Notamacropus eugenii: one gene and its partners. The protein of the gene in region 2 purifies or fractionates together with the protein of the main gene of each other region. This does not show direct contact. Links are inferred from orthologs where the notes say so. Each region holds a gene or a part of one and is shown on either strand. Other genes may lie near its edges.

Region 1 (7,402 bases), on a different chromosome or scaffold from region 2:
GTGATCCTGGGCAAGTCACTTAACCCTGCCTGCCTCAGTTTCCTCATCTGTAAAATGAGCTGAAGAAGGAAATGGCAAACCACTCCAGCATCTTTGCCAAGGAACTCCAAACGGGGTCACAAAGAGTCAGACATGACTGAACAACAACAAATTATTATTATCATCATGATTAAAGAGGCATCCTCTTCACAAGGAGGCAGCCTGGATTGAAAAGAGCACAAGATTTGAGATGAGGAGATCTGAGTTCCAATCTCCCATTCACTAGTTAGAGTTCAGTCTCTGAAGCTCAGTTCTGTCATCTATACAAAGCAGATAGTAATAATACCTGGGCATGATGAGAATGATGATGGTAGCTGACATCTAAAAGTTTGCAAAGCACTTCTACGTCATTTCCTCACTTGATTCTCCACTGCAGTCCTGTGAGATAGGTATCATTCACCTCCTTCTACAGACAAGGAAGCTGAAAGTCAATGGCTGCAGCCTCAGGATCTTAAAACTAGAACCCCCAGAGGCAGGCTGCAATCCTCAAGCAGCCAGCTGCCTAACTGCCCCCTCTTCAAAGAAGCTCCCTCATGCCTCAACTAAAAGCTTCTCTCTCTCTCTCTCTCTCTCTCTCTCTCTCTCTCTCTCTCTCTCTCTCTCTCTCTCTCTCTCTTTCTCTCTCTCTGTCTTAGAGGTAACAGGGTTAGGTGACTTGCTCAGGGTCTGAGGCTGGATTTGAACTCAACTCCAGGGTGGGTGCTCTATCCATTACACCACCTAGCTGCTCCAACCTTCTACCTTTCCTATAGTCTTTTGTCTCACCATACTTGTGTACCTGTGTACATGCAGTGATGCTCCTAGTCAACTGGAAACTCCTTGAAGGCAAGGTTTATGCATATTCAGGGAAGAGCCTTGCACACAGAAGGGATTCAAGAAATGCATGGTGGGTTGGATTTATGCTTTATATTTAATGCACAGGGTCATCCATTTGATCAGCATTTATTAAGCACCGACTACAATCCTGGGTTGGATGCTTAGGGATATAAAGACACATAAAAGGAAAAACACCCTGCCCTCTGCATGGTGGTGGTGGTGGTGATGGTGGTGGTAGTGGCGGTGGTGGTAGTGCTAGGACATTCTCACAGAAAAGGAAGTCCAAGAAAATCTGAGGAGAGGAGTAATGTACCCCACAAGGAGGAGGATCAGAGTATCTGCAAGCCTCAGGAAGGTTACCTGGGCCATATGGGTTGAGCTAAGAAGGATGGATGGATTGTAACAGACCAACCCTGCAGAGGAAACACATTCTAGGCCTAGGAGCCAGTATGTCCAAAGGTATGAAGGTGGGGGTGGAGATCAAGTTTAAAGAAGAGCAGGGTGGCCAGTCTGACCAGGACCAGACTGTGTGAAGGGTTGTAACAGAATAATCGTTCAGAGCTAACAGGGGCCCCAGGCCTCATACAGTCCAACCCTCTCCTCCTACAGATAAAAAACTGAGGCCCAGGGAGGTCAAGTAATTCATGCAGATGCAGCCTTCAAAGGGGCTTCAGAGGTCACGTGGTCCAGTCCCCTCATTTTACAGAAAAAGGTGAAACCTAGGGAGGTTAAGTCCCAGGTCATGGGCAATAAAATTAGAGGTGGGATTTGAATCCAGATCCTCTGACTTCAACAGCCACAGCTTTGCCACATGACCCTACTGCCTCCTGCCAAGAGTAGGCTGGGAAGGGCTTTGAACGTGGTGCCAAGAATTCTGCATTTGATTTTAGGAGTAATAATAGGGAGCCACAGAAGGTTTTTAAACAGAATGACACAGTCAGACGTGCGCTTTAAGATTAGTTTGGCTGTGTGAGGATGGTTTGGAGCAGGGAGAAAACAGAAACAGAGGAGCCAATTAGGAGGCTGCGGCAATTGCCCTGGTGAGAGGTGATCAAGGCCTAGGCTGGCAGAGCCGCCTTGTGAGGGGAAAGAAGGGAGCAGGTAGACCGGTGGAACCAACAAGACTTGGCAGCTGACTGGAGTAGGGAGGGGAGAGCTGGGAGCTGGGGAGAAGAAGAAATGAGGATGACTTTAAGGTTCAAACTTAGATTACTGGAAAGACAGTAGTACCCTGTCTAGAAATAAGGAAGGTCAGATGAGGGGGAAGTGTAGGGAGGAACATTATGGGTTCCCTTTTTGTTGAGCTTGAATTGTCAAAGCAAGAGGGTATGTATCCAAGTGGAGAGAGAGGTCCACATTAGGCTGAATACGTAGATCACAGCCACCTCGGGAATAACAGTCTAGACAGCTTTTATGGTGGTCTGATCCCTTCCTTTCTACACTTGCCACTCCAATATCCAACAGGATCCTAGCTAGGGATTGGGCAAGGGATGGGAGCCACTGCATATAACAAAGGGTGGGGAGAAACCTCTAGGCTGGAGGCCTGGGATCAGTCATGTCTGAGATGCGTCAGTCAGGAGAAATACCATCTCCTCCAGCCATGCTCATGCCCTTGTGACAAAGCCCCAGTCACTCTCCTAAGCTGTATCTTCGACATAGATTCAGTCCTCTAGGGTTAGAGACCAGCAAAGGGAAGGCCAGAGTTTCATGGACAGGGCTTCCTATTAGGAAGTGAGCACCATGAGACCATCTTGGGATTTTCCCAGGCACCAAGCATGGGGAATAGCAGATGCTTCATAAGTACTTATTTTATGAATGAAAACCATAAACTTGAGAACCACAGTCACACCTTTCTGTCTGTGGGCCAGGAAGGGTTAACCTTAGGGTGAACTCATGTCTTTACCTCCCTGGGGATGCTGTTTCTGGTGTAGCACCAACCACTGGGCCTCAAAAGAACTCTGGACCATGCAATCTAGCCCCTGAGGGGTTAAAGGGAACTGGGTAGGAGGAAGACAGCACTTGTAAAGAAAAGGGGGCTCCTATCTGGAGGGAAGAGGCTTCCCTTCTTCCCCCACACCTGACTAGCCTCACCCATGGAAAGAATTTTTTATCTCTGTTTCCCAGTTCACAAACTCCTTCCCAAGATATCTAGGCCTGGCCCACATAGCCTTCTCCCTTTTTCTATCAATTCCAGGAATGCTCAGCTCCCCCAGGCTTGGCACAGTCCTGGGGCTGAGTCACTAGATGGGATGGGGCAGGAAGAAGGTGGGGGGGTGTAGGGGGCAGGGGAGTAAGCCTGGGGGGAGGTAGCTTTTGTAGTGGTGGTGGTGGGGGCTCAGATCAGAATGGCAGAGGGCTCAAGCACAGAGGATGGAAGGATCCTGAGAGAGGGTGGGCATGACAGTCATACCAACCTAGACCCCGGAAGTCATTCCTAGCTCTTTGGTCCAGGGCTGTGTCCATTATCCCTTGCCTCTCCCCACCCTTCAGGGTAACACTCCTCCAGAGTCTTTGCCCTAGAGCCAGGTATCTGAGACCCTCCCCTCTTCCAACAACCTCCAGCTCTTGCCAGCCCTAGTTTCAGGCACCTTGTGGTGGGGTTGTTGGCACTCACCTCTGGGCAGCCAGTTCTTGCAGGGGCTTTGAGGCAGGGCAACACTAGGGCTGGTCTTCAGCAGCTGCTTCTCCTCCCCCAGACCTGCCCCCCCCCAGTCCCAGGGTGACCTCAGTATGCATTTCAGGCAGTAGGAGGGGCCACCAGGCTGCCGGGGCAACAGGCAACCCAAGCAGCCCAGATGCTGGGGAGGCCAAGAGGGAAGGGCAGAGCCCGGCTGGGCCCTCAACAATGGGTTGGCCCTGGTTATCAACATGCCCTTTGGGACAAGGGAGGACCTTCAGAGACTGGCACACCCTTTTTATTGTTGCTTCCTGCCCTCAAGGAAGAGGAGGGTGATTAGGGCACACTGAAGTGTACATGTGTCTGGGTGAGGTGTGCTGCCCTGGTGGGGGTGGCATCGCTCCCAGGTGCCATTCCTAGTGCCCGGCTGGCACTGCCAACAGCCCCAGGCTCTCCTCGTCACCAGGGGGTCCCTGTCTGGTGCGCATGCTCGGGAACCCCAGTGTCCAGTTGGCACTGCCAACAGCCCCAGGCTCCCCTCGTCACCAAGGGGTCCCTGTCTGGTGGGCATGCCTGGGCACCCAGCCGGCCCTGCCAGGCTCAGTCACGCTCTCCGTGCCTGCTGGACACACGCTAGTCAAGCCCAGGCTCCTTTCTCGTGCCCAGCTGGCACCACCGCTCTCTCCAGGAGCCTCTGTGCTCAACGCAGGCCCGCCAGTACCCACTGGCACGGCCCGCTCTACCCCACCAAGTGCCGGGCGCCCCCTCCCTCCCCCAGGGTGTATCTCGAGCGCCCTCTAGAAGCTGCTCCTCGGAAGCACAGCAGGCTTGCTCCTCTCACTCCCCCTCCCCTTCCCTTCCCAGACTCCTCCAGTCGGGGGCATGCGCAGTAGCCCCCGGAGCAGGAAGCGGTCACGACGAACTTCCTATTACATCTTCCGCAGGCAGTAGAAGAGCCCTCCCCCTTAAGGGCTGCGGCCATACCCCCCCTCTTGACCTATGAGAGATCCAGGGGCGTGGCCATAGCTGTAGCTGGGTCCTATGAGGGGAGAGGAGAGGCGGGGCCAGAAGGCAAGATCCTATCGGTGTAGAGGGGGCGTGGCTCAGCCTTCCCGGTCAGCCACCACGTGAGCTGCGGGCTTTTCAGGCTGAAGTGTGGAGGCGACATGTCGGCTGCTGCGGTGGTCTCGGGAAAGCGGGGGAAGCCGCCGGGCCCGGGTGCGGGGAAGCGGCGGCGGAAGGTGAGGCCGTGCCCTTTCCCGGGAGAGGCGGTGTCTCTCGCCCCAGCGGGGGGGTCCAGGCCGGGCTCCTTCCCCTCCCCTGGGTCCCCTGGGTCCCCTGGGAGTGCGGTCCTGGGCCTCGGCTCTGCCCTGCTGGGCCCCCGCTTTGCCACCTTCTCCCTCCCTGGGGGGTGCCAGCCTGCGGCTGCCCGCGGGCACGGCCTCTGACGGGGGACGGGGCCCTCTTCTTGGCAGCCCGACGCGGAGGGGGAGAAGGCCCAGCCCAAGGGAGGCCCCAAGAAGAGAGCCAAGCCGAACGAGGAGATTTCCAGCGACTCGGAGCCGGAGAGGTGCGTGGGCCGGGCCGGGCCGGGCCGGGGGCGGAGGCCTGGTGCACCCCCTCCTTCCCCCGACCCCCCGGCAGAAGTCCCGGGAGCGGGGGGGCCGCCGGGGTCAGGGGCAGGGAGGGAACGTCCTGGGTCCCCGCCCCTGCCCACGCGAGCTCCTGGAGAGGAGGGTCCTGAGGCTGGAGGGGGCTCGGAGCTGGCTCCTTGAGGGCACGAACCCTTGGTTCTTGTCTCTGTGCCCCCCGCCCCTGGCACCCGCTGGGCCGTCCCGGGGCCGCGCGTGCCAGGCCCCGAGCCCACTCCTCTCCCTGCGCCGTCCCGCTTCAGCATCTGGGCCTTGGCGGAGGACTCTCCCGACCCTCCCTCGGCTTCTCCCAAGGGAAGCTGCTGGACCTCGGGCTCGGCGTGTCCGGAGCCCTTCCACCGTTCCCCAGGGTCTCCCCTCCCAGGCTTTCCCCACCGCCATCCCCCGGGGCTTCCCCCATCTCTGCCTGGCAGCACCCTCCGTGTAGCCTCCTGTCCCTTGTGCCCCCGTTATCCCAGCAGCCTTCTGCCCGGGCTCCTCCCCTGCTTAGCTGCCAGGGGTTCCTGTCAAAGTCCGACCCGTCCTTTGTGTGCCCTCCTCCCGCCCCCATCGGGACCCTGAGGGCTCCTGTCACTGCCAGGGTGAAATGTAGAATGCCCATCCATCCTCAGCTGGGCCTTAAAGCGCTGTGCCACCTGCCCCTGCCTGCTTGTGCCTTGGCATGCCCTGCACACTCCTGGCTTTTATTCCCCTCCAGGATGACTCTCCATCTGCACTGCCTGTGTCTCTAGGCACAGGTTAGAACTGAGGGCAGGGACAGCGCTTTTGCCCTTAGGCAGAGTAAATGCGTACTGGATGTTGTTGGCTGGCATGTTTGCTAACCATGAACCAGGTTCAGCCCTTCCTTACACAAGGGGGAAGCGACTTGCCCAGGATCGCACTGGTTAGGGAGTTTCTGTTCTGGGCTCAGTAACTGAGGTGCAGAGATGGACATGGAACAACCTCTCCCCTCAAGGAGCTCACTTTTTTGGTTTCGTTTTGTTTTTAAATTATTATTATTAACTTATTTTTTTCAGTTTTCTACAATCACTTCCATGTCTTAATTTTCTCCCCCTCCCTCCCCGCTTCTTCCCTGAGACATTGTACAGTCTTATATGGGTTCTACACACACGTTCTTATTAAACGCATTTTCACATTAGTCATCGTGTGTAGAAAAATTAAAATGAATGGGAGAAACCATGAGAAAAAACATAACATAAGAGAAAATATTCTGCTTTCCAACTCCATAGTTCTTTCTCTGGATGTGGATGGCATTTTGTCTCAAGAGTCCATTGGAAATTTTTTAGGGCCTTGCATTGCTGTGAAAGGCTAAGTCTACCAGAAAAATTCCTCACACACAGTAGTTGTTACTGTGTACAAGGCTCTCCTGGTTCTGCTCCTTTCACTCAGCATCAGTGCATAGAAGTCCCTCCAGGCCTCTCTGAAGTCTTCGGCCAGGCAAGGAGTCAGGAGGAAGTAGTCCCTGATCCAAAAAGCAGAGAGAAGGAAAGAGCCTTTCAGGCATGGAGGACGACCTCGGTGAAGGCACAGAGGGAATGAGTGGATACCTGTCCTGTGAAATGGCCCTAAACAGTGGGGCAGCTGAGATGGGAAGTGATAAGAACTGAGAGGCTGTGGGGGGCCAGAGTGTACAGGGCTCTAAATGCCGGACACAGGTTGTTTTTCATTGTGAAGGCAATGGGGAGCTACAAAAGGGTCTTGAGCAGGGGAGTGGCATGGTCAGAGTTTTAACCATAGTCAGATAGACTGGAGAGAAATTGGAAGCAGGGAGACCCAGAAGCAGTGTGGTTTAATGGTACAAGTTCTGGGCTTGGAGTTAGGATGACCAGGACTGACTTCCACCTCAGAAACACTCACCAGCTCTGTGATTTTGTGGTCCTCAGTTTCCTCACCTGTAAAATGGAGGCGTTGGTCTCTTCCAGCGCTCAGTCTGAGTCTGTGGTCCATCTGGGGGGGTCCAAACAGAACAAGTCTGATCCCTCTTCCACCTTTACATCTCCCTTGAGTCTTTTCTGGGTTAAACACCTTCAGTTCTTTCACTTGATCCTTCTATAGGACATGGATCTGAGCCTCTCTACTGCCCTGGTCTCCTTCTGGATACCCTTCAGCTTATCAGTGTCCTTCCTCATGGTGCCCAGAACCCAGCGTAGGGAGGATCCAAGGAATAAGCATAAGTGTTTTACAAATATCATCTCATTTCATCCTCACACTCCTCTGAGAGGGAGGGGCTGGTATTAGCCCCATTTTACATTTGAGGAAATTGAGGCCTGAGGCCAAA
Region 2 (7,886 bases):
CCTTCTTCCGTTCCCCATGGTCCACAGGATAAAGGCCAAATTCAGAGGCCAGCTGCCTCCCAGAAATTAAAATCACACTCCTTTCTAATAAATAATAATAGCATTTACATAGCGCCTTAAAGTTTGCAAAAAGCTTGACAAAAATCTTTTTTTAAACAGCCGAGGAAATCAAGTCCCCTGCAGATTAAGTGATTTGCCCAGGGTTACACAGCTTATCTAAGGTGGCATTTGAATTCAGGACCTTCCAGCCCCAACTTGGTTGCCTTCTCTAGCCACAGCACAGATCATTTCCGCCCCACAGCCCTGTCTATGGAGGTAGGGATGCCCCAGGCCTTCACCAATGAGCATTCGGTATTTGTGGGGGTGTCGCGCATCCTCAATGACAGGAATGATGTTTGTCCTCTTCTTGGCCACGTTGATGAGGTCTCGGCCAGATCGATGAGAAAACTCAACAGCGTAGACCAGACCTTCCTGAGGGGCAGAGGAGAGCTCACTGTCCTCACCTGTCACATGATCAAGAACCCACCACCAAGCCCTTCCTCCTAAGACTCAGAGCACCTGCGACCTGGGGAGCAGCAGGAGCCATGCAAAAATCAGCAGGTATCATTCTGTGCCATACTTCCTGCCCTCAAACCCCTTTGTTCAGAGTTCAGTAGCAGGTGAAGAATCTCTTCAATGTACCTCACCGCTAGCTCTTTGGGTTTTGTATTTAAGCAGTTAGGAGGTGGCAGCAGGCCCTCCCTATTCTTATTCTATTTGTGAAAGTGGAGAAGGGTTCCCCCAGACTCACAGGGCCCACAATGTCAGAGACATGTGAGACAGTAGTGCCAGATGCTGCTCCCAAGTAGAGTACTTTGGCCCCAGGTCGGATATGGATCTGATCCACTCCACCTAGGATGGCTGCAGCCAGTTTTGATCGGAAGGGGTTCCAAGCACGGTATTCCAACTTCGCCTCACCATCCTGAAAGGGTGGAGGAAATCAAGAGTCAACTCTTCATACTCTGGCCCTCCACTACCTTCCCTATGTCCTATACCTTACTCCCTTTCCCAACATAACTTGGGATTCAGCGACAATGGTGGCCTTGCTGATCTGCGGGATGCTCCGTCTCCCAACTTTGGCATTTTCACTGGTGACATGCTCCCCCAGAACTGGAAGGCTCTCCCTACCTCCTCTATCTCCTACCTGCCCTGGCTTCCTTCAAACCTGAAATTCCATTTTCTACAAGAAGCCTTTCTCAATGCCCCTCTATACTGTCTCCCTCAGGGATCATCTCTAATTTATTCTGTACTGTATATGACTTGTTTCTATATGATAACTGCCATGTCACCTTTCCCACTAGACTGTTTTGTGAGCAAGGACTCAGTAAATACTTCATGACTGACTGAAATGGGAGCCTGTCCCACATCCCCTCCCACCACAAGGTCCCATCCTCACCTCCACAGTGATTCTCTTCTCACCATAGACTGACTCCCCGGGTACCATGTTCTTTGTGACCAGAGCATCTTCTTTCCCTCGACAAATAAAAACTCCTGAAAAAAAAAAAAAGAGGGGCCAATGTGACTCATGGGCACCCCCTTCTTCTCTACCAGGCATCCCCTGTCTCTGAAACGAGGAAAACTGGTAACAAAGAAAACAAAACTGCACAATGGCCGTTTTGCCACTTTCTTTGCTAAGAAAAGTGGCACTGGACATGTCCTCACTCACCCTCATGTCGATGAGGCTCCACAGTGACCTTCTTTCCTCCTTGGAAACCTCCTCTGCCACCCCGGCCTCGACCCCGGGGGGTGCCTCTGCCCCGACCCCCAGGGGACTGGAACCCTCCTGCGGGAGGCAAAGATTCCTTGCTGGCTGGACAGTCCAACATAGATCCCGGAGGAAGTGCTCCTTCCCTCCACCCCCGTGAGCCGGCGACCTCAACTCACCTCGGCCACCTCCTCGGCCACCGCGATCTCCAAAGCCGCCCCGGCCACGGCCCCCGAAGCCTCCTCGGCCCCCGAAGCCTCCTCGGCCCCCTCGGTCACCACCTCTGCCACGACCTCCGAACCCCCCCCGGCCCCCCCCTCGGGGGCTGAATCCTGCGGGCAAAAAAATAAGTTAGCCAGAAACTTCTTCGGCCGCTTGCCAGCTCACCCGGACCCCAGGTGACGAGGAAGCTCCACGTTCACGTTCATGGGAATGGGGGGAGGGGGACAGCCCCACAGCACGGGAGACCCTTTATCACGCCCCAAACTGCTGTCAGTGCATCTGGGAGATGAGACAGAGAAGCCCGCCGTCCCCTACGGAGGAACCCGGGAGGCCCAGGGAGGGGTGGGGGTGCTGAGGCTGGAGGCCCTTCCCTCCTCTCCCCGGAGCAGCTCCGAGGAAGGGCCCAGCCCCTCCCACCCCCGCGGTGACAGCCATCCCAGCCTGGCTCCAGGGGGAGGGTCCCGGCCCGATCGGGCAGGCCCACCAAACCCGGCCTCGGGCCTCGCGAAAGCTGCGGGCAGGACGCGGGAGTGCGCGGCTCGAGCTCCAATCCGGCCCCAGACCCTTCCCAGCTGCTACCCCAGGCTGCCTGCCTCAGTTTCCTCGCCGGTAAAACGGGGACCGTACCAGAGCCGCCCCTCCGCGCCGGGGGCGAGGAGGGCTGGAAAGCGAGAGAGCGGAGAAGGCGCCACGGTCCGCGGGCCTCCGGCTACCGGCGAGTCAACTGAGGCGCGCAAGCCCTGGCCCGGCCCCAGTCTGGGCCCGCCAGTCCTCCCCAGCCCGGCCCCAGTCTGGGCCCGCCAGTCCTCCCCAGCCCGGCCCCAGTCTGGGCCCGCCAGTCCTCCCCAGCCCGGCCCCAGTCTGGGCCCGCCAGTCCTCCCCAGCCCGGCCCCGCGCTCACCTGGCTTCATGGCACGCGGCTCGCTCTGCGCAGGAAGCGGAAGCAGCAGCGGGGTCGCCCCGCACGGCGGCCGCCAGCAGACACGCGGCCACCGGGCCTCCAACACCCCCGGTTACAGCCCGCAAGGGAAGCAAGAGGGGATTGGCGTGCCCGGCGCCGGGTTACGTACGTAAGCACGCACGCAGCACGCACGCAGGCAGGAACGCGAAAGCTCCGAGACGGGTCTTCTCTCGCCTGCGCAGTCTAGGTTTACCCGGTACCTTTCTCTTGTCCCCGCCTCCCCGGTTGTCCCTTACGTCACCTCGCAAGGGACGGTGGAATCCTGGGAAAAGTAGTCCTACGAAGTCCCAGGCCGGGGCCGCAGCATTTCCGGGATCGAGAAGGCGGGGAGGGCCACGTAGGGCGTCATGACGTCACGAGGGCGCCAGGAGGCCGGGGTGCCCTGTCGGGAAGTGTAGTTTTGAACAGATGCTTTTGTCTCCTAGGAGACGTCGAGAATGGGTCCGGAAGTGACTCGTGGCCTCGTGAAGGTGGCGGCGGCCTCCTGCCGCAGTGCCTGGGGAGGCCGCGAGGCGGCGGTTTCTCTCGCTACCTGTCTCTGTTCTTCCTCCTCTGGTTCCAGCAGGGCGGCGCTCCTCAAAGTTTGGTGAGAAACACACGTTATTCCACGATCCTCCTGGGCACCAGGCGCTGAGGAGCCGGAACGGAGGCCGGCCCTGCCCTCCGGGAGCTCCCACCTGAGGGGGAGGGGCCGCGCGGCGAAGGAAGCTGAAAGGTGGGGGGAGGGGCAGGCCCCTGGCGTCAGGTGGGAGGGGTCCGGGGAAAAGCTTGATGTCAAAAGAAAGTGTATGGTGACATATTTGCGGTATTTCTGGATCTGTCAGCTTCAGTCTGTCTAGCTATTTCATTCTGGTGGAAGTATATGAGGTGTATTTACCCAGATACCTAGTTGGAAAAGGGGCAGGTTTTTGAACAGGCAGATAGCCTCTGGGTATAAAACATGGTTTTGGCCTCATGGATCCCCCTGACCTAAGGGGTCCTGGGCAATCTTGAGGAGTCTTTTTGAGCACCACCGATGTAGGGGATGAAAGGAGATCTTGTTCAGCATATTAAAAAATAATCCATTTCTATGGTTCCGCTTTCACTCCCCCCCTTCTGAGTTATTCTATGGACTGTAATCATCTAGTTTCTTGAACATAGAAAAAATGGAGGAAAATTAAAAATTTAGTTTTTAGGAGGCAAAAATTAAACTTCTATATGGAGCACCATATGGATTTGGAATCAGCAACACTGATCTTTGTAAGTTCAAATCCGGCCTCAGACACTTCTAAGCTGGGTGACCCTGGGCAAGTCACTTCTCCCTGTTTGCCTCAGTTTCCTCATCTGTTAAATGAGCTGGAGAAGGAAATGGCAGACCCCTCCAGGATCTTTGCCAAGAAGACATCCCCCCAAAAGGAGTTACAAAGACTTCACAGCAATGACAACAAATACGGGTCTGGACAATGTGCTTTATGATATGTGTTTGGGGAGCTGTAAAAACTGGCATGCTATATCTGTATACCATATATATATATAAATACAGACAGAGGTTCAGGACCTTAGTGAAAAATTGCCAGGATTTGATCCTGCTTGGGGTCATCTGAGCTAAATAATATAGAATCTTTTAGAAAATATATTTTAATTTTTACTCCTTAATGCCTCCCCACCAAATTAAAAAGAAGAAAAAATTCTTGTAACAAATGTGCATAGTCAAGCAAAACAAATCTCCACATTGGCTGTGTTGAAAAATGTATACTGTATCTCATTGTGCATCTTGAATCCATCACCTCTGTCAGGAGGTAGGTAACCTGCTTCATCATCGGTTCTCTAGAATTGTGCTTGGTCATTGCGTTGGAGAGTAATGTGAAAGAATTATGGATTTTTTACATTTTATGAATATAGCCTGAGCTCCAAAGCCTGTTGGTATGAAACGCTCTCCTCATTGGTGAAAAATTAATGTTCTGTACTTATGTGGGGGGCAGAGTGGAACTGGTGAACCCAAGAAAGAAGAGAGGTCTGATCTTCAGTCTCTGGGTTCTGGCTTCTACCTCTGAGAAAGAAGATTGATCATTCTAACTTCTCCTAAAGTAGCTGAAGGGAGAGAAAGACTGGGAAGAAACCAGCATTCAAGGAGCTGTCAGTTTTCATTATATCGCTATCCACAGTTTTCTATACTAGAGGCTTAAAGAAATTTTTCCTCTTGGGTGATCTCTGGGGTTCTCTACTGGTTGAGCTGAGTTACCTTGTTCCCAGCAAAGCATCTTCAGTCTTTATTCTCTGATTTCTATTTTACTATCAACTTGGAAAAATGAATGTCTTTGCTATTTGTAATGTGAATGTTCATTGTGGACTTGGTGTTTGGTGGGAAGGGGGTCAAGCATTGGCTGTAAAGCTTGGACTTTCCCTATTAACTCATAGAGATTAGAAGTTTAACTTGACCTTAAAAATTGCATCTCCGAAGGCCCTATAGGTTCCCAAAGTGGGCAATACTGCCTCCTGGGGGGCACGGGAATGATTGGGGAGGTGTGTTAGTAGCCTCAGGTGCAATTGGGGGGTATTGAATAAAAATAAGGGGGTGGTGAAAGCATAAGAAAGAAGAGAAGAAAATTTTGAAAAACTGTTCATACATGTTTTATCTGTTGTGTAACAGAGTTAGTTATAGTTTACAAATAAACACACAAAATGCAAGTTACAACCAATCAGTGGTCAAGTCCACTGACAGGTCTTAACAAGCAAGTGTTGGCAGGTGAGTATGTCGCCCATTGTCTGGAAGTCCAGCATGCATTGGCAGGAATATGTGTATGTAATGACTTGTTTACAATATGATACTATACGGTTACATGAAGCAATATTGCATCATCAAAATTGCAATGCAGGAAAAACCCCACAAATTTACAACAAATTATTAAATTTAAAATGTGTCACTTAAAAATTATATTATTTTGAAATTATACAAATTTCAAAAATACCATTAAAGGGTAGATTTCCAGGGGGGCACTGAGTAATTTTGTTTAATGGGGGCTTTAGGTGAAATAAGTTGAGCAGCTTAAATAACTCTGGCTAGACTAATAACACTTAAGGGAGCAGAGAGAGAGAATTCTAGCCCAGTATTCCCCTCTCTCTTAGCAGAGCAGAATGGTCAGCCTCTGGCTCCAGTCTCTTGCAAAATACCAAGTCTCTCTTGGAGAAGGCTGAGGGGAAGAGACATGAGACATGTCTATTCTTCCCTTCCTGTGAGCCACACATGACACCCCCAGCTACATGAATTTCCCTAAATAGATCCAGAACTGAGTTTACCCCAGACAAAAGTCTGAGTCATAACTAAGCAGATTTGAGTGGTGGGAAGAAACTTGGTGAGGAAAGAACATGGAGACATGAAGTTTGTGAATGAGTGAATTGCCTTGAGTCTCTGCAAATTAGGCTCTTTGGGGAGAAAAAGGCTTGGAGGTGCTGTGTCCCCAGGCAGGAAACACTGGTTGGGAGCAGAGGTCCTCTGGGAGATGACCAAAGGTGGTGAATAAATCTGACAGTGTTTTTCTAAAACCAGAATGTTAGACTTTGGGACATAAGAAAATTTCACCTCTGAACTAGATTTCAAAAAATTAAACAGTCCAAGCACATAACTTCAGTCTCATTTACATCCTTTTCCTACCTTCTCTTATTCCCCATAAAGCACAGTTTTCCAAATTTCAGGGTCTTCCCAGTCCAGGGTCAGAAAGGGAGCCAGACACAAAGCACAAAGTGGTGGTCAACATTATTGAATATTTTTTACTTCAATTCTCACATAAAAAACATCCACTTTTTTTAATGGAAAAAAGTTCAAACCAATGTCAACAAAAATTGAGATCAATCCTGGTGAATTTGCTCAGTCTGGCAGGGATGGCATGCAGCCCTGTGATTATATAATACAGTGTGTGCACAAACAAGGTCAAATTGGTGTTGGTGCCTGTTGGACAAATTTCCATGTGGGAGTAATCTACTGCTGTGGCCATTAGCCAGTTGGCATGGGGTCAGGTGACATGGGCCTTCTAGCTGCTTGCTGCATTTCCACATGAATCGTGTGAATATGAAGTTAAATAATCTTTGTGTATAGTTTTAGAAGGGCTGTAGTATCTGTTATATTTCTCAATGACTTGGTTTTCTGAAACATCTCCAACTTAAAAATTAAAATAACTCAGGAACAATTAATCGGTTACCTTTTGAATGAATTTTAAGTTGAATGTCCCATTTTTATTTTAGTCAAACATGAGCTAAAAATTATTTGTGTAGATTGTTTTAGGAATACAACAATTTTTCCTTTAAGGGCAATGGAGGATGTCTCTGCGATATTTAAGAACCACTGAGTTTTCTGCAATAACACTGGCATACTTCTTGGCATTAAGTACATAGCTAATAAATGCCAGATGAGCTAGCATATGTAAAAGTGCTTTGTGAACCTATAAACTCTATTATTATTACTGATTATCTGTCCTTTCCAGGGCATAGACAAGGTAGTCCCCATCTTACCACTGTTTTCCAGAATGATTTCCACTCAGCTATCAAAGTATAAATTTGACTATGAACGCCCCTACTCAGTAAACAGCAGGGGGTCCCTATTGCTTCCAGGACCCAATGTAAACTCTTAGGTTTAGCTTTGTAAATCCTGCATATCCTAGTCCATTACTGCTCCAGTCTTTTCACTCTCCTCCTCCACAAACTGTATTCTGAGGTTCACTGACACTAGCTTTCTTCCCATTCCTCAAAGAAGACACTCCATCTTCAGACTCCAGGCATTTTCCTTATCTGTACCTCATGCCTGGAGTTGTCTCACCCCACATCTCCATTTCCTGTCTTCCCTTACTTGCTTCAGGTTCCAGTTAAAAGCCAATCTACAAGAAACCTTTCTCAATCCTCCTTAATGTTAATGCCTTCCCTCTGAGATTAACTCCAGTTTATCCTGTATGTATCTTGTACATATGTAGTTATTTGCCTGTTGTCTGT
Region 3 (7,750 bases), on a different chromosome or scaffold from region 2:
AAAATAAGGAGGAACATGACTGTCGGAGACCGAGTGAGCAGGAAAATGGGAGAATAGCAAAGTCATCTGTGAAGGCAGAACAAGGGTTAAGGGGGGGCTTAACACTTAACATCTCCCTGACTCAGTATCTTCATATACACATGATGGAGTTGGCCTAGATGGGATCTTCAAACTCTACATTCCATGATAAACTCCAGTAAGTAGCCTGGACAGAAGGGAGGTGTTGACTGCAGCCAGATACGGCTGGAAAGCTAAAGGTAAAGTTTCAAGGTTCAGAAGGCACCCTGGAGAAATGTGAGTGGAGGTACACAAGTAACAGCCTGGGACAGTAGAATTAATGTTATTTTGCCATGGAATTCTTTGGCAATCTGGTGAAACCTACGAACCCCTACTTAGAATGTCTTTAAATGCAGAAAATAAAATGCATTGGGTCATTTTTTTAAAAAGTCCAGTTATGTTAAAATTGTTAAAATAATGACATTCAGAAAAGCATTTCAAGGTTTGCAAAATGCTAAGTTGACTGTCAACAAACATTTATTTAGCACCTATTATATGCCAAGCACAGTGTACTAAATCCTGGGGATATAAATAGGAAAAAAGAAAGGAGCCACAATCTAATATTTTGGAGGGCTTTCTGTGGTTTTTTTAAACAGATATCTCAATTTTATTCTCACAATCACCCAGGGAGATAGGTAGTATTCAATTAGCTCCATTTTACAGAAGAGGAAACAAAGGAAAACAGAATGTTAACTGACTTGCCTGGGGTCATACTGCTTAAATGTGAATTTGAAGTCTTACAAAACTCCAGGCCTAATGTACTGCCTAAAAGACACCTCAGAAGCCAAGATTACAAAGTAAACTAATTAAATTGAAACGTGATTCTCAAAATATTTCTGATCAAAAAGTTCATGGCTCCAGATTGGTGCCTTCCTTCTGATCATTTCCAATATCTTTCTTATTTATCATAGATATATTTGTACCTAGTTATTTGAATGTTAACTAACTGACTATAAGTGGAAACAGGTGGTCCAGTACCAAATATGGCCTCAGACACTTACTAGCTATATGACCTTGAGGAAGTCACTTAACCCTGTTTACCTCAGTTTCCTCACCTGTAAAAATGATCTGAAGAAGAAAATGAGAAACCACTCTAGTATCTCTGCTAAGAAAACGCCAAATGGGGTCACGAAGAGTCAGGCATGACTGAACAACAACAAATAATAGTCTATGGGATCCTTAAGGGCAGGGTCTTTCTCTTTTCTTTGTATCGCCAATGCTCAGCAGGCGGTCTGGCTGGTTCACTAACAAGACACTCCTCTTATCATTTTCTCAGGCTGTCCTCTATGCCTGGAATATTCTCCCCTATTACAACTACTGACACACCCCATCCCTTTTCCTTGAAGTCTCAAATAAAATCCCAAGTCCTACAGGAAGCCTTTCCCAAACCATCTTAATTCCAGTGCTTTCCCTCTTATTTCCTCTGTATCTTGTTTTATATATTTCTTTGCATACTGTCTCTCCCATTAGATTGACCTGGATGACACTTCAGAATAATGCTCTTAAATGCATAAAAAACAGGATTGCAAACTCATTAAATTGCAATATAAATTCATTTCTGAATACAGACTGAATGAAGTATAATTTTCACCTTATTTTCCTTGCTTTCTTTTGCAACATGGCTAATGTGGAAACGTTTAGCATGCTTGCACATGCACAGCTGCTAATCCTGTTTAGCATGCTTGCACATGCACAGCTGCTCATCATACTTAGCATGCTTGCACATGCACAGCTGCTCATCGTACTTAGCATGATTGCACATGCACAGCTGCTAATCCTGTTTAGCAGGCTTGCACATGCACAGCTGCTCATCATACTTAGCATGACTGCACATGCTCAGCTGCTAATCATACTTAGCATGCTTGCACATGCACAGCTGCTAACCATGTTTAGCATGACTGCACATGCTCAGCTGCTAATCATACTTAGCATGACTGCACATGCACAGCTGCTAATCACGTTTAGCATGCTTGCACATGCACAGCTGCTCATCATACTTAGCATGCTTGCACATGCACAGCTGCTCATCATACTTAGCATGCGTGCACATGCACAGCTGCTCATCATACTTAGCATGCGTGCACATGCACAGCTGCTCATCATACTTAGCATGCGTGCACATGCACAGCTGCTCATCATACTTAGCATGCGTGCACATGCACAGCTGCTCATCATACTTAGCATGCGTGCACATGCACAGCTGCTCATCATACTTAGCATGCGTGCACATATGCACAGCTGCTAACCATACTACTTGCTGTCTCCATGCGTGTGGAGAACTCGGAACGCGGCGGAGGAAATGCCTGCTTTGAAAAGCGGACACGCCCACCCTCCGTGGGGGCAGGGGCTCTCCCGCCTCTTCTTACACGCGAAGGGTTCGGCCCGGTGCCTGGCACACAGGACAGACTTCCTAAGCGTTTCACGACTGGCCGGCACGCGGTGGGCGCCTAGTAACCGTTTCCGGACGGACTGAAGGACCGTAACTCACTTTCTCCTCCCTACGCAAAATGGAAGGGGAGGCTCCAAGGCCCAGGAGAGAGCGGGTCTGGAGCTGATGTCCGAGGTCCCCTCGGTGCGGGCCGCGCGCCGCTCGGACCGCGCCGGAGCCACGCACGGAGCCAGGCCCGGAGGCCCGGCGGCGCGGCTCGGGGCGGGCCTCCTTCCTTCCAGCCCCTTTCTCTCCCTCCCTCCCTCCCGTCCTTCCCTCCATCTCTCAGTACCCCTAACGCAGCCCGCGCCCGTCCCGGACCGGACTTCACGAGGAGGCGGGGAGGAGGAGGAAGGTGGAGGATCCGGGAACTCACCGCGTGAAGGTGTCCGCGCCGCCGCCATGGCTCCCGCTGCCGCCTCTTCCGCAAACCCACACCACGTGCGTGTCTCTCATGGGGGCGGCCATGACAGCACGAAGCCCCGCCCCTCCAAACCCGGCGCAACGTTATTGGCAGCTGGTCCAGCGGCTCCGCCAATCCTGAATCAGGACTCGAGATGAAGAGCTGGCCGGGCCCGCCCCCTTCCCATTCCGGCTTCACTCTGCCTCTGAAGTTGGTGGAGTGGAGTCAGGTTCGCAGGCATTCACTAAGCGCTTACCATTGTCCAAGTCCTGCTATCGTAAGAAAGTCACTTTGGCCGCTGTGTGGAGGAGGGAGAGCAGTCGGGGAGAAGCTTGAGGCGGGGGGGCTAATGAGGAAAGGATTGCTGTACCCCCGAACAGGGGGACAGGGGTCTAAACCCAGGTAGTGGCTGTGGGAATGAGGACAGGTAATCCCTTTAGGAAGCTTTGTCTCAGGATGGAGAGCCGTCAGGCTGGGTAGCTGGAAGTAGTGGTGGGGTGTAGTGAAGGGTTTTCTGTGTGGTTTTTTAAGGATGAGAGAAACTTGGGTCTATTGGTAGATTTGGGGGGAAAGAAACAGTAGAGAGATTGGAGAGAGAGGATGGGGGCAGTCTCCTGGAGAAACAAGAGGAGATGGTCTGGAGAAGATGCCAGAGAGCCTGGGAATGTGGGTTGTATCCAGGGAGTGTGCTGGTCATGTTTAACAACCAGCTCTCTGAAAAAAAACACACATCCAACACATTCTTAAGTTTAATTAACTTTATGGGATTAACTCTGAATTATTAACAGTTTTCTGTATCACTTTAAGTCTAGAAAATCTGCAGAACAATAAGTGGAGCCCCAACTTGTACCATTTTTCAGTGCTACCCGTATAAGGCTCACACTGAAAAATCTTCACTGGTTCTGCAGAGACTGAATGAGCTGGCTGTATCACACCACGGACTCTTGTATCTATCCATTAGAGATTAAATTATACTAAATAGAATGTTAAATTTAAAATACTAATTATCATGTATAAATTTCATTATGTTAGAAATTAAAACTGACATTTTAAAATAAGTACTGATTCATTTTAAAATAGCAATAACATGTTAACATGAATAACATTTTTATGAAAACTCTTCCAAAACAAAAAATTTAGCGGTATTGTTTTACTTATTTTTGTGAATCTCTTTAATATCTGGCTTAATAGACAACAGAGTCTCAATCTGAATTCAGTAGGTCTCAATATGTTATTTTGGTTAAAGCACAGGAAGAAAATCCAGCATCACACAGATATGTAACTGGAAAATGGAGTAGCATTTTAATCGGTAAGCAGCATTTTAATATTATAAAAATAAGTTTGGTCTGGGCCCCCCCTATGGAATCTCAGGGACCCCAGACCACCCTTTGAGAACCACTGTCTTAAAGCATTCGTTTCATAAGGTCACCACTCCCCTGCTCTGTAAACTCCATTAGCTTCCTGTTACCTCAAGGATCAAATAAACACTTTTTTTTTAACACTTAAAGATTTTTCTTCAAAATTGTTCAAATGACACTTTCTCTATGAATCTTTTCCTACTCTCCTCCTCTACCTATTCGTCACCCCCCTCCAAAAAAAAAAAATCTTGTATTTATTTTGTGTATGCTTACTTATGTATATGTTATCTCCTCTGATAGAAAGTCAGTTCCCTGAGATCAGAGATTGTATCCTCAGTTCCTAGCATAGTGTCTGGTACATACATTTTATAAATACTTGCTGATTAATTGATTGAAGAAGACATTGACAGATAAGTAATAAGAGCTTACATATTTGAATTCAACAAAATCTCCCAGTCCACATCTTCTGGCAAGACAAACCAGGGCTTGGTCTCATCCTCCTATTGATTGTCATCTGCTCTAAGAAACATCATGGTGAATGTAGAGAAAGCAAGTCCTGCAGTTCAACCGGTATCAGTTGTGTCCTTTATTTCATGCTCTTAAGGGAATGAATTTTGGAGATAGCCAAGAGGAATATTGGAGATGGTCACCCTAGGTCCAGAAACTGGAGTCCATTCCAAAGTTTGCCTGAAGCCAAGCCTTTTTGGCCTCTTGCATAGGCTGCCAAGTTGCCACTTCATCAAGGAATGAATAGCTCATCAAATATCTATGCTGCGTTCAGAAGTCAACTAAAAGGGGTCAATGCTTTGTAACAACTGATTTAAATTTGAACCCATTTTCTTAAGGGACCAAGGTAGGGGAGTGAAGGCTTCCTGTAGAGATAGTTCCTGAGTTGATTGTGAAGGAAGGTAAGGATTCAGAAAGGCAGCATAGAGGAGGGAGTACATTCTAGGCTACTTAAAAAAACAAAAAGCCTTTCTTTAAAAAGATTAGCACCAGTCATGTGTATCTGGACCTAGCATTCCATCATTCTGTTCCATCATTCTGTCTTGAAACATTTATTAGCAAATCCATTAGCGTGGTATCTCTGCTATAGTCAAGAGATGAAGATTTTTTTGAATCTAGAGAAGGTATCTCATTTTTTCCCCCAACTATTCAGAGAATCCTGGGAAAGGTTCAAAAGTCACAAACAGTTGAAAATAAATGACTTGGAAGATAATACTAACAGCTCCTATTTCTACTTGCTCTAAGGTTTAAACAGTGCTTTCCTCACAAAACCTTCTCCTCCCAAAAACACAGTGTGTTGTGGGCTGGCACCAAGGATTCAATCAGGAGTCCTAGAAATTCAGTCTGGAGACCTGAGTTGAATTCCCAATCTGTTCTTTTCAGCAAGTCACTAGATATCAATGAGCCTCACCTTATTCAGCTGTAAAATAAGAGAATTGGAGTAATAAATGATTTATCAGGTTCCCTTCAGGTATAAGTTTTATAATCCTTTGAACTTTTATCATTATATGTATTTTATTGATGAAATATTTGTAACTCTTGAAACATTTCTCACTATCTGGGCAGTTGGAGGGATTATACACACACACACACACACACACACACACAGAGCACAGGGTGAGTTGAATAGAAAGGTATCATATCTAAAAAAACAAAATTAAGGGGTGAGAGAGAAATATATTGGGAGACGAAAGGGAGAAATGGAATGGGGCAAATTATCTCTCATAGAAGAGGCAAGAAAAAGCTTTTCCAATGGAGGGGAAAAAGGGGGAGGTGAGAGGGAAAAATTGAAGCTTACTCTCATCACATTTGGCTCAAGGAAGGAATAACATGCGCTCTCAATTTGATATGAAAATCTATCTTACACTACAGGAAAGTAAGGGAGAAGGGGATAAGCAGGGTGGGAGGGATGATGGAAGGGAAGGCAATGGGAGGAGGGAGCAATTAGAACTTAACACTCTTGGGGAGGGACAAGGTCAAAAGAGAGTATAGAAGAAATGGGGGGCAGGATAGGACGGAGGGAAATATAGTTAGTCTTACACAGCATGACTATTATGGAAGTCATTTGCAAAACTACACATATATAGCCTATATTGAATTGCTGGCCTTCTCAGTGGGAATGGGTGGGGAGGGAGGAAGGAAGAGTAGTTGGAACTCAAAGTTTTAGAAACAACTGTTGAGAATTGTTGTTGCATACAATTGGGAAATAAGACATACAGGTAATGGGGTATAGAACTTTACTTGCCCCACAGGACAAGAGAGAACATGAGGATAAGGGAAGGAGGGGTGTTAGAAGGGAGGGCACATTGGTGGAAGGGGCAATCAGAATGCAAGGTGTTTTGGGGTGAGAGGAGGGGAGAGATGGGGAGAAAATTTGGAACTCAAAATTTTGTGAAAATAAAGGTTGAAAACAAATAAAAAAAATAATTCTGTCTCTGTATTTAAGTTTTGGCCTCTGATTATTGTTGAATTTCCTTTCAAGAGAATGAAAGGGCAAAGGCAGCATATTGTGAAAAGAATACTGGATGTGGAGTCAGCAGACCTTTAAGTCTAAATTCTGCGACATAATAGTCCAGAAAATTTGAATACATTATAAACTCTCCTACCCCCAGTTATTTGTTTTTAAATCTGTAAAACTGGAATAATATTAGAACTAGCAGATTCACACTGTTGTTATGAAGGAAGCATTTTTTAAAACCTGAAATTACTGCAGAAATATGAACTATTTTTAAAGCAGGAAACATTTTTATTAATAAAGAATTTACATTTTGATAGCATTTCAATGCCCACATGGGCAAGGATGGTTCCCTGGAGGATAACTCTGGGCTAATGCTACAGTTTATTTCAAGGACAGGATGAGAGAAACAGAAAGAAGTAAAGAGAAAGACTGGTATGAGAGAAGGTATGAAATTTTGAATGTCTAACAGGAGCCTCTGGGGCTGCAGGCATATGGGGAAAGCTGACCCTCCAGCATGTCCCATAATTCTCAGCACCTGTACCCCCAAAGACTATTAAGAATAAAATTCTTGGGTGAGATCATTTTCTTTTGTTTAACCTGAGATTTCATCTCACTCCCAAAGAGAGAAGCCCATTAATTCACGTGTTTTGATGTCTGATCTAATAGGAATGGCATCCTCAATTTCTGTTTTACTACTTACATTGATAAATATGTATGTTCAATATTGATCTTTTTGTGTGTAATAAGCCACTGGTGGGAGGGAGGTAAGCAGTCCAAGAGTACACCGTTGCCCTCATTTTAGAGTAGCCAGAGAAAATGGCTTTTATCTTGAACCCCTAAAGGATCATTGTACCCCAAGACTGCAAATATCTGATGTTTAGTAGACATAATTCTAACCCATTACCCTTAATGATAAGCAAATGGAGGGGTGATTGTCCAGCCACAGCTGAAAATCCTCAGGGTAGCCCAGATCCTAGATTAGCTGACATGCATATAAGCAAATCGCTGTAACACAGATTATCATCATAGGTCCTCATGGT
Region 4 (7,740 bases), on a different chromosome or scaffold from region 2:
TCCCAGCATGGGAAATCAGTCGGGCACCCACCTGGAAGGGGAGAAAAAAAAAGGTTGTGGTCAAGAGTATTCTTGATCCCACCAAACCCACTCTAACTCCAAGGAGAAAACAGGCAGCTAGGTGGAGCTACGAAAGTGACAATAGCTGTAAGGCAATAGTCCCCCCCTAGCACACACCCCAATGACTGACCGACTCCCCGATGAGTGCTGACAGGCTGGGGGCCACCTGGAACATCTTAGAGCTCAGATATTTGTTCAAACTCTGACGATACTCAGATAAAGATACCACTCGACTTGAAAAACTCTCAATATTGATCAGGTCAATGGGAGAGATGTCCATGCCTGGGAAAAACAAGGAGGCAAATTAGTGCACAACAGAATATCCTCTTCTCCCCCAATTGACCCACAAAGACCTCAACCAGAAACACTGACCCATAGAAGACCGAGATGCATCCAGGATGGCCCTGGCCTTGGCTTCATCCATTGTCAGCTCCTGCAGAGCTTCTAGTTTCTCCTCATTCAGTTCTTTGCGATTGCCAATAAGCCGGGCCAGGCGACAATATGTGGCGTTGTCACTAACAATCTTTACAAGCTCAGGAAAGTGATAGCCATACCACTCCCTGAAAAAAAGAGATGATCTTAAACAGAAAGAAAAGGTAGTAGTCCAGAAAAACCACACCTCACCCACAGCCCCAAACCCAATACTCTGGATTCCCAAGTCTTTACTGTCTCCCCTTTCACAATACAGCTAGAGCACAGGCAAGCTCCTGGCTGAGGTGTATAAGAGGAAGATCTCTCTGCCTCCTTTTTCTATACAGTCTGTGCAAAGTACAACACAGTCTGTGGTAAGCAACAGGAGGTGGTAGGGCTGGAGGAACAGTCCAAAATCCAGCCCCTGCTTAAACATCTGCCCCACCAAACCCTGGAGCTGACCTGACCCGCATAGAGAAGGTGTTTATGTCTTTGTCCAGCTGGTCAAGAAGGCTGATAGACTGGATGATCATGTTGTCCACCCTATTCACATTGAATTTGACCTTGGCCCGAGAGTAGCTGTGCCCTAGTCCCAGTTGGGCTTTAGAAGCTGAAACTTCAGTCAGACCTTTCACCAGAGAATGAAAATGCAGACGAACTCCTGGGAGAAAACAGGCAGAATAAGAAACTACCAAGCAGAACCCTTTTAATGTCCTTCAGAGCACAGGACCTGAATAGGATCTGGTACCCAATCAACTACCATATCAAGGCACATGACTTCCACGTGATTCACCTGAAATCTTACCTCTAAGGATTTCTGCCACTACACCACCTGTCTGGCAGGGGTAGCCCAATTCCTCTTGGATAGCAGCCCCAATCTTAGGATCCCCAACACCCAGCAAAGCTTTCTTCTTCTTAGCCGGCATGTTGGTTTCCAAGAAAAGCCGGAGGTCCTCATGGAGAATGCCTGTGGATAAGAGCATAGGTTAGAAGGGCACAGGGGACACACAAAAGATCACAGAAAAGAGGTGAGACCACTCACCTTCAGATACTGCATTAGCATTCTCTAGAGCACTGTGGGCGGACTTAAATGGGGAAAAGGCCACAAGCCGGACGATACTGTGAAACTTCCCAATGTTCAGCACACATGCCTCCACCTGTGGAGGGAAAGAGTGTGTAGGGCCGCTACAGTTGGGGGGGTCGGGGTTAAGGGCAGGCCCGATTTCCCATTTCCAGGGAAAAGCGGATACTAAACGTGCGCCCTGGGGCACACGGCTCCCTTTCCATGCTGGCTTCCCCTTTCCGCCCCAAGAAATGCAAACAAAGGCTAGGTTTTAGATCTAAGACGAGGCTGAGCACGTGGCCTTCCCTCCCGCGGACCGGGGCAGACACCGTGCTCAGAGACTAGGCGACATCACTCTGCTCAGGGGATTGACAGATTTTAATGCTCATCACAGCTCGGCGGCCGCTGCTGCCCCGGGGCTGGGTTGGGGGTGGGGACCCCGGCCCGCCCCTGCTTCTCTCGCCGGCCTCACCTGAGGCAGCAGCAGGCTAATCTCCTCCACCTCCTTCAGCGCCAGCAACGCGTAGCCGGCGGCGTGCTCGAACAGCACGTGCAGCAGCACCTAGGAGAGACCCAGGGAGAAATGAAGGGGGTTCGCGAAACCCACCTGCTCAGGCCCGGCCCGAGCACATGGCCCACCTCCCCGCTGCCCGCCCAGCTCCCACAGGCCGATCCCCGAAGGCCCTCCGGGAGGTCCCAGGGCCCCATGCTCCGCGAGCATTACGCTGCCCTGCTGTCCGGCGGGGAGCGCCCAGCCCCAGCCCACAGAAAGGCCGCACGCACGCGGCCCAAGGTTCGGCGGCCCCTTGGCCTCTGCCGGGCTGCTCCCCACCTCACACCCGTGATAGCTAAGTAGGCTCTAGTTCCACCGGCCGGATGACTCCCTCCACCCCCCAGCTGCACCGCACGGCGACCCTCGACCCCTGCCCCATGGCCCCCACCCAGCTCACCATGGCGGCAGTCTGAAGCCCCAATCGCAATGCGGGCCTCCCGCCGGACACGCAGGAACCCTAGCCTCACTAGCCCCGCCTCTTCCGGATGGAAGCCTCCACTCAGAACCCGAGGAAGGCACCATTAATTAAGGAGACCAAGGGGGAAACTGAAGAAAATGGCCTCGCCCGGAAGTAAGGAAGGGTCATAGGCGCCACCGCGGCCTCCGCGTGCGCGCTGCTTCCCGCCTTTCCAGCGGCGCTGGTGGGAGTGGGGCGGAGCTTTCGCAGACCAGCGGCCCTTGGGGGAGCGTAGCTGCGATCAATCTAATAGGTATTAGAAAATGAGATAACTGATGGGTCTCTGAGCCACGTCCACCTACGGGAGAGGTCAACACCCATGCTCGCAGGCTCAAGCACCACCAGCCTTTACCGCGGGAAGGAGGAACGGGGCAGAGCAAGTCTAACTCCAGTTCTCGCGATAACCTGTTGGCGTGCGTGAACTGTCCGTACGTTTACCCTCGCGCCCCTTACGCATAGCCGGCCTGCTTCCGTTTCCGGTCGCATATTTTCCCCGCCTCCTTCCGAAGGTCACCGCCTGGCAGGGACTGACCTGCAGTAGTGTTCCCACGTCGCTCTGCCCACTAGCGTTGTCCAGACTTGCCTCAGGGAGACGCTGGACGGCCCCGTTTCCCCAGGGCTGCCGGCCCAGCCCAGCGAGCCCGCGCTCGGTGGCCGCGGGACACGTGGCGGCAGGTCCCCGCGGAGCACAAGCCGGACGGTCCATTTATTGAGCGCCTCCTGTGCCAGGCCAGGGATGCTTGTGCCAAGGCCGGACCGAAACAGCCCCTGCTTTCCAGAAGGAAAAGCAGTGTGTTTGTGTCTGATGGCAGCCTTACCCAGGTGGGGAGATAAGGGCTAGGAGCGGCCAAGGTGTGTTGTGAGTCTTAGAGAAGCCCAAGTGCCTTTGGGGAACGTGCGGCCTGATAGGAATCCTGTGGGAAAAGGAATGCCACGCGTGGTGGCAGGCCTCAGAGCGCCGTGTCGAAGGACAGGACGGAAGCGATGCCCGAGCGTGGTCCTTGGGGCTCATGCCAGGGACGGAAATCCTTGGGCCAGGCGCCCCTGCATCTGTCCTCGACCCAGGGAATTACTGAGGCGGGGCTGGGCTACCTCCAGGGACGTGGCCTTGGGGCTTTGGGGGTTCGGCTCCACCGCCTGATGAGGGAGGAAAGGAAAAAAAATTGTTTATATGAGAACTGTTGTACGTTTAGCGGCAAGAGCAAAGCAGATTTGCAGTTTCATGTGCAGTCATCTTTTTTATTTACCGTGTTATGGAAGTGTTTGTTTTGTTCCCGGAATTTATGAAAATAAATTAAGATTTTTAAAAATAAAAAGCAAAGTGTACAACTACATACACATACAAAGCAAATGCTGGTTAACCTTTGAGGGGAAGACACAGCAACTGAGGGAACCAGTTACATCTTCTGTTAGAAACTAGTACTGGAGACGAGTCTTAAAGGAAACCAAGGTTTCCAAGAGCCAGAGTTGAAAAGAAAACATGTTAGAAAGGGATGTAAAGTGCAAAGGGGCAGAAGGGAGATGAGGGAAAGGGTACCGGTGTGGAGTGTGTGTGTGTGTGTGTGTCTTATTTAACAAGAAGGCCTAAATTACTGGACCACAGAGAGTGTGGAGAAGAGTAATGTTGAAAGGAGTTTATATTTGATCCTAAAAGTAATAGGGAGCCACTGTATTGAGTAGAGTGGTGACAGAGTCAGGCATATGCTTTAGGAAAATGACTTTGCTTGTGTATGGAAGATGATTCTAGTGAAAAGGAACTTGAGGTAGAGAGGCCATGCTGGAGAATGTTGCAATAGTTCAGACTTGGACGGGGGCAGCTGAGGGCTGGAGGCCACAGGTTCCCCCGTCCTGGACTGGGGTAATGGCTGTTCTGTGCCAGTATGAAGAAATCACCTACACCTGCTTCTATGCAGAGGTGAGCTGTCCATTAGTATGAAATAGAACATAGGACAGATTTTTTTCCACGTTAATTGGTTGTAGATAGGAGGGATGTTGAGGAGAAACAACAAATTTGGATATTAGATAACTTACTGCGTATGTGGGAAGTTAAGAATGAGAAGGCAAGGATGATCCCTCACTTTTGATTGATTATGGATCTTATTTATTTAGGAGGTTTCTTTGCTGTTCAAGAGTTTTATTCATCCACAATGTTATTTGCAAATGGAAATATCTGGAAAGCCTTATTATACTTTGATACTTACTTCTTGGGTAATTTTTGGCCTTGGCTTTCTTATCTGTAAAATGGCAAGGTTGGATTAGATGACTTCTAAGTTTCTTTCAGTTTTATCTCCATGATCCTGTAATGGAAAACCCTCTTCAATTTATATTCTGTGCTAGTCATCCTCCATGGCAATGGCAAATACTTTTGATGAGGCCATAGCTCCCTGTTTAATGCTTTCCTTCCTATTAGTAACCAGATAGCATGTTATAATGAACTCTTTAGGTAGGGCCCTAAAAAGTCAGGCCTAACAGCTGAATTCTAGAAAAAGACTGTTGTAAAACTGTTTGGATAGAAGGGTGGTTATTAATGTAAGTGAGAATTCAGTAATGATGAAATTACACTGTTCGTCAGATGGGCAGCCACTTATGTATGTCTCAGGAACAGTCAATCTCCAAGCATTTATTAAGCACCTACTTTGTTCCAGGCACTGGGCTAGGTGCACAGTAAATCTAGTACAAAGAATGAAACAGTGCATACACAAAAAGATGTTTATACAGTCTAATTGGGAAGATAAGAATATTTAAAAGTACATACAGAAGAAATATAAGGAGAATAAAAATAGTTAAACACTAGTTATTGTGGTAGAGAGCAACTGGAGTTGGTTAAACAAGGGAGTAACATGATCAAGTCTGAGCTTTAAAGAAAATCACTTTGGCAGCTGTGTGGGATAGACTGTAACAGTGAGAGTCTTGAAGCAGGGAGACCAAACTGTGAGAGGTTGTTGCAAAAGTCTACACAAGAGATGATGAGAGTGAGCCAAGGTGATGGCTATGTGAGAAGAGAGAAGGGCTGGGATGTAAAAGATGGCAAGATTTAGCAGCTGATTGGGATGTGAGGTAAGGGAGTCTGAGAAGTGGAGGATAATGCTGAGATTATGAACCTGGGAGACTGGGAGGATGGTGATGCCTTCAACAAAAACAGGAAAGTTTGGAAGAGGGGAAATAGGTTCAGTTTGGGATGTATTACATTGGAGATATTCAGTTTGAAATGTCCATGAAGTACTTAGTAGATGTGGCAGTGATGTTTAGAGGAAGAACTGGGCCTGACTGTAAGAGTAACAGCTTCCATTTCTATAGGTCCCTAAGGCTTGCAAAGTACTTTCTTCCCCACAACTCTATGAAATGGGTATTATAAGCATTATTATCATTTTTTTGAATAGATGAAGCAACAGGGAGTGGTAAAGTGACTTAACCAGCATCACCGAAATAGTAAATAAAGGTGGAATTTAGTATCTAGATCTAGACCTGGAACGGACCATAGAGGTCATCTGGTCTAACCCCTTCACATGCCATAAGTCACCCAGTTAGTAACAGAATCTGGATTCAAATTCAGGTCCCTTGACCAGGATCAGTGTTCTTTCCATTACACTACTACCAACACAGCCAAGCTGCCCAGGAAGGGAGGTAGGCAGACCTCTCATTCTGCACAGCTTCTCAGGGGTTTAAGGCCAAATATAAGATCCCAGGAAGAAAAGATGACTAAAATTGTAGACATCGAGGATCACTATAACCTAATGAATGGGTTAATAATAAAGCATTTGTTAAGGTTTTATTGTGTGCAAAACATTGGAGATACAAATAGAAAAGACAGTTTCTGCTCCCAGGGAGCACACATTCTAATGGAAGCTTCTGGTTCAGGTCCTATAGAAAGGTCCATTGGCAAAGAAGTTGGTAATGCATCTTCTTTAATGGATTTAAATGGATATAATCATCCCTGTATTCTGATTTTGAACAACTTGACAATGTCAAGGACTTTAGTATTGAGAGCTTTCTTTTCTGGGTGTTTAGTAGAAGGGGCCGCAGATCAGACTTTAAGCGGCAGAAGCATTTACCACATCCTACCTCTATAGGGATTGTTTGCCAGGATGATGGATGGCTTCACGGCCAGGTGGGAAGCAGGATCAGTGCTCTAGGGGAGGACTTAGGGTTCCTGGGCTTACCCACTCATTGGTAACAGTTGGTCACTAGTCAGTGGTAGCAAGGAAGGTAGGCCCCTTCTCCCCAGGGATTACAGCATAAGCCCCCAAATCATTCCTTTCCCGCTATGGTGCCTATAATATTGGGATCCTATGACCTCTGCATGTGCCAAAAGAGCCAGAATAATTGAGGGAGGGTTGCCATAGGACAGATTATATGAAGACAGACTGGAAATCGTGGGCAGTGTCTCCTTAATCTGCAAAGAATCATCCATTCCCTCAGCCATTATTTATACAGTACAAACTATATAAGATGGGAAGGACAGCCACATCATGAAAGGGACTGAGAAGGAACTGGCATTTTCTCAATCCCTGACCTGAGAAGTAAAGGCCCTCTTTCCCCTAGCCTTATCAGGGGAAAGCTCACAACCATTATAAGCCTTTTGAAGGGGATCTTAATGGTGAAGTAGATGGGTCAGATTTGTTATACACTCCAAGGTCTTAAATCCTTTGGCAGGAAAAAAATTGCTGGTTAAAATGCAATTTGCAAAGTGCAATTGCTACATGATTTTATTTAAATCAAGCACATTAGTCTGCTGACTAAACTTCATCAGTGCAACCCAATGGTAAAAATAGCCCTTGTTAATTTTTAATAGACTTAACCCCTAAAATGATCTTTTAATAAAAGAGGAAAAGGTCCTATATGTACAAGAATATTTCTAGCAGCTCTTTTTGTGATGACAAAGAGCTGGAAACAAGGTGTGAGGGGTGGGGGGGGTGGAGGGTACTCATCAACTGGGAAATGGCTGAACAAATTATGGTAGATGAAGGTCATACAACAGTCCTGTGCTATGGGGAATGATGGAAGGGATTTCAGAGAAACCTGGGGAGACTTATATGAATGGAGCAGGACCAAGACAATTCATGTAAAAATGAGTGGATTTTAAAGACTTAAGAATTCTGACCAACTGCTAGAATTGTGATTCTGGAAGATGCTTCCTGACGGAGACCAAGGATTCAGTATGCAAAATGAGACACATTTTGGGACATGGCCTGTGTG

What was found.
Region 1: the proteins of FBL (region 2) and RRP9 purify together in Homo sapiens (affinity purification with mass spectrometry; 3 studies listed by BioGRID and IntAct, counting the BioPlex papers as one, with this or other methods). This does not show direct contact. The link is inferred for Notamacropus eugenii from reciprocal best matches to the Homo sapiens genes FBL and RRP9.
Region 3: the proteins of FBL (region 2) and DDX24 purify together in Homo sapiens (affinity purification with mass spectrometry; 3 studies listed by BioGRID and IntAct, with this or other methods). This does not show direct contact. The link is inferred for Notamacropus eugenii from reciprocal best matches to the Homo sapiens genes FBL and DDX24.
Region 4: the proteins of FBL (region 2) and NOP56 purify together in Homo sapiens (affinity purification with mass spectrometry; 6 studies listed by BioGRID and IntAct, counting the BioPlex papers as one, with this or other methods). This does not show direct contact. The link is inferred for Notamacropus eugenii from reciprocal best matches to the Homo sapiens genes FBL and NOP56.

Annotation. Positions count from the first base shown.
Region 1 is NC_092872.1:3,026,386-3,033,787, forward strand, and holds the start of RRP9 (U3 small nucleolar RNA-interacting protein 2), read left to right. Parts: upstream 1-4,400; 5' UTR 4,401-4,638; coding exon 4,639-4,713; intron 4,714-4,947; coding exon 4,948-5,042; intron 5,043-7,402. UniProt on the Homo sapiens protein: Component of a nucleolar small nuclear ribonucleoprotein particle (snoRNP) thought to participate in the processing and modification of pre-ribosomal RNA (pre-rRNA).
Region 2 is NC_092876.1:32,316,235-32,324,120, forward strand, and holds the start of FBL (rRNA 2'-O-methyltransferase fibrillarin), read right to left. Parts: upstream 3,003-7,886; 5' UTR 2,878-3,002; coding exon 2,868-2,877; intron 2,077-2,867; coding exon 1,924-2,076; intron 1,823-1,923; coding exon 1,706-1,822; intron 1,531-1,705; coding exon 1,436-1,530; intron 962-1,435; coding exon 791-961; intron 472-790; coding exon 339-471; intron 1-338.
Region 3 is NC_092878.1:35,535,581-35,543,330, reverse strand, and holds the start of DDX24 (ATP-dependent RNA helicase DDX24), read right to left. Parts: upstream 3,001-7,750; 5' UTR 2,890-3,000; coding exon 2,862-2,889; intron 1-2,861. UniProt on the Homo sapiens protein: ATP-dependent RNA helicase that plays a role in various aspects of RNA metabolism including pre-mRNA splicing and is thereby involved in different biological processes such as cell cycle regulation or innate immunity.
Region 4 is NC_092877.1:46,628,003-46,635,742, forward strand, and holds the start of NOP56 (nucleolar protein 56), read right to left. Parts: upstream 3,002-7,740; 5' UTR 2,488-3,001; coding exon 2,485-2,487; intron 2,097-2,484; coding exon 2,007-2,096; intron 1,629-2,006; coding exon 1,514-1,628; intron 1,439-1,513; coding exon 1,277-1,438; intron 1,133-1,276; coding exon 934-1,132; intron 863-933; exon of another isoform or gene 724-862; intron 621-723; coding exon 433-620; intron 343-432; coding exon 191-342; intron 32-190; coding exon 1-31. UniProt on the Homo sapiens protein: Involved in the early to middle stages of 60S ribosomal subunit biogenesis. Required for the biogenesis of box C/D snoRNAs such U3, U8 and U14 snoRNAs. Part of the small subunit (SSU) processome, first precursor of the small eukaryotic ribosomal subunit.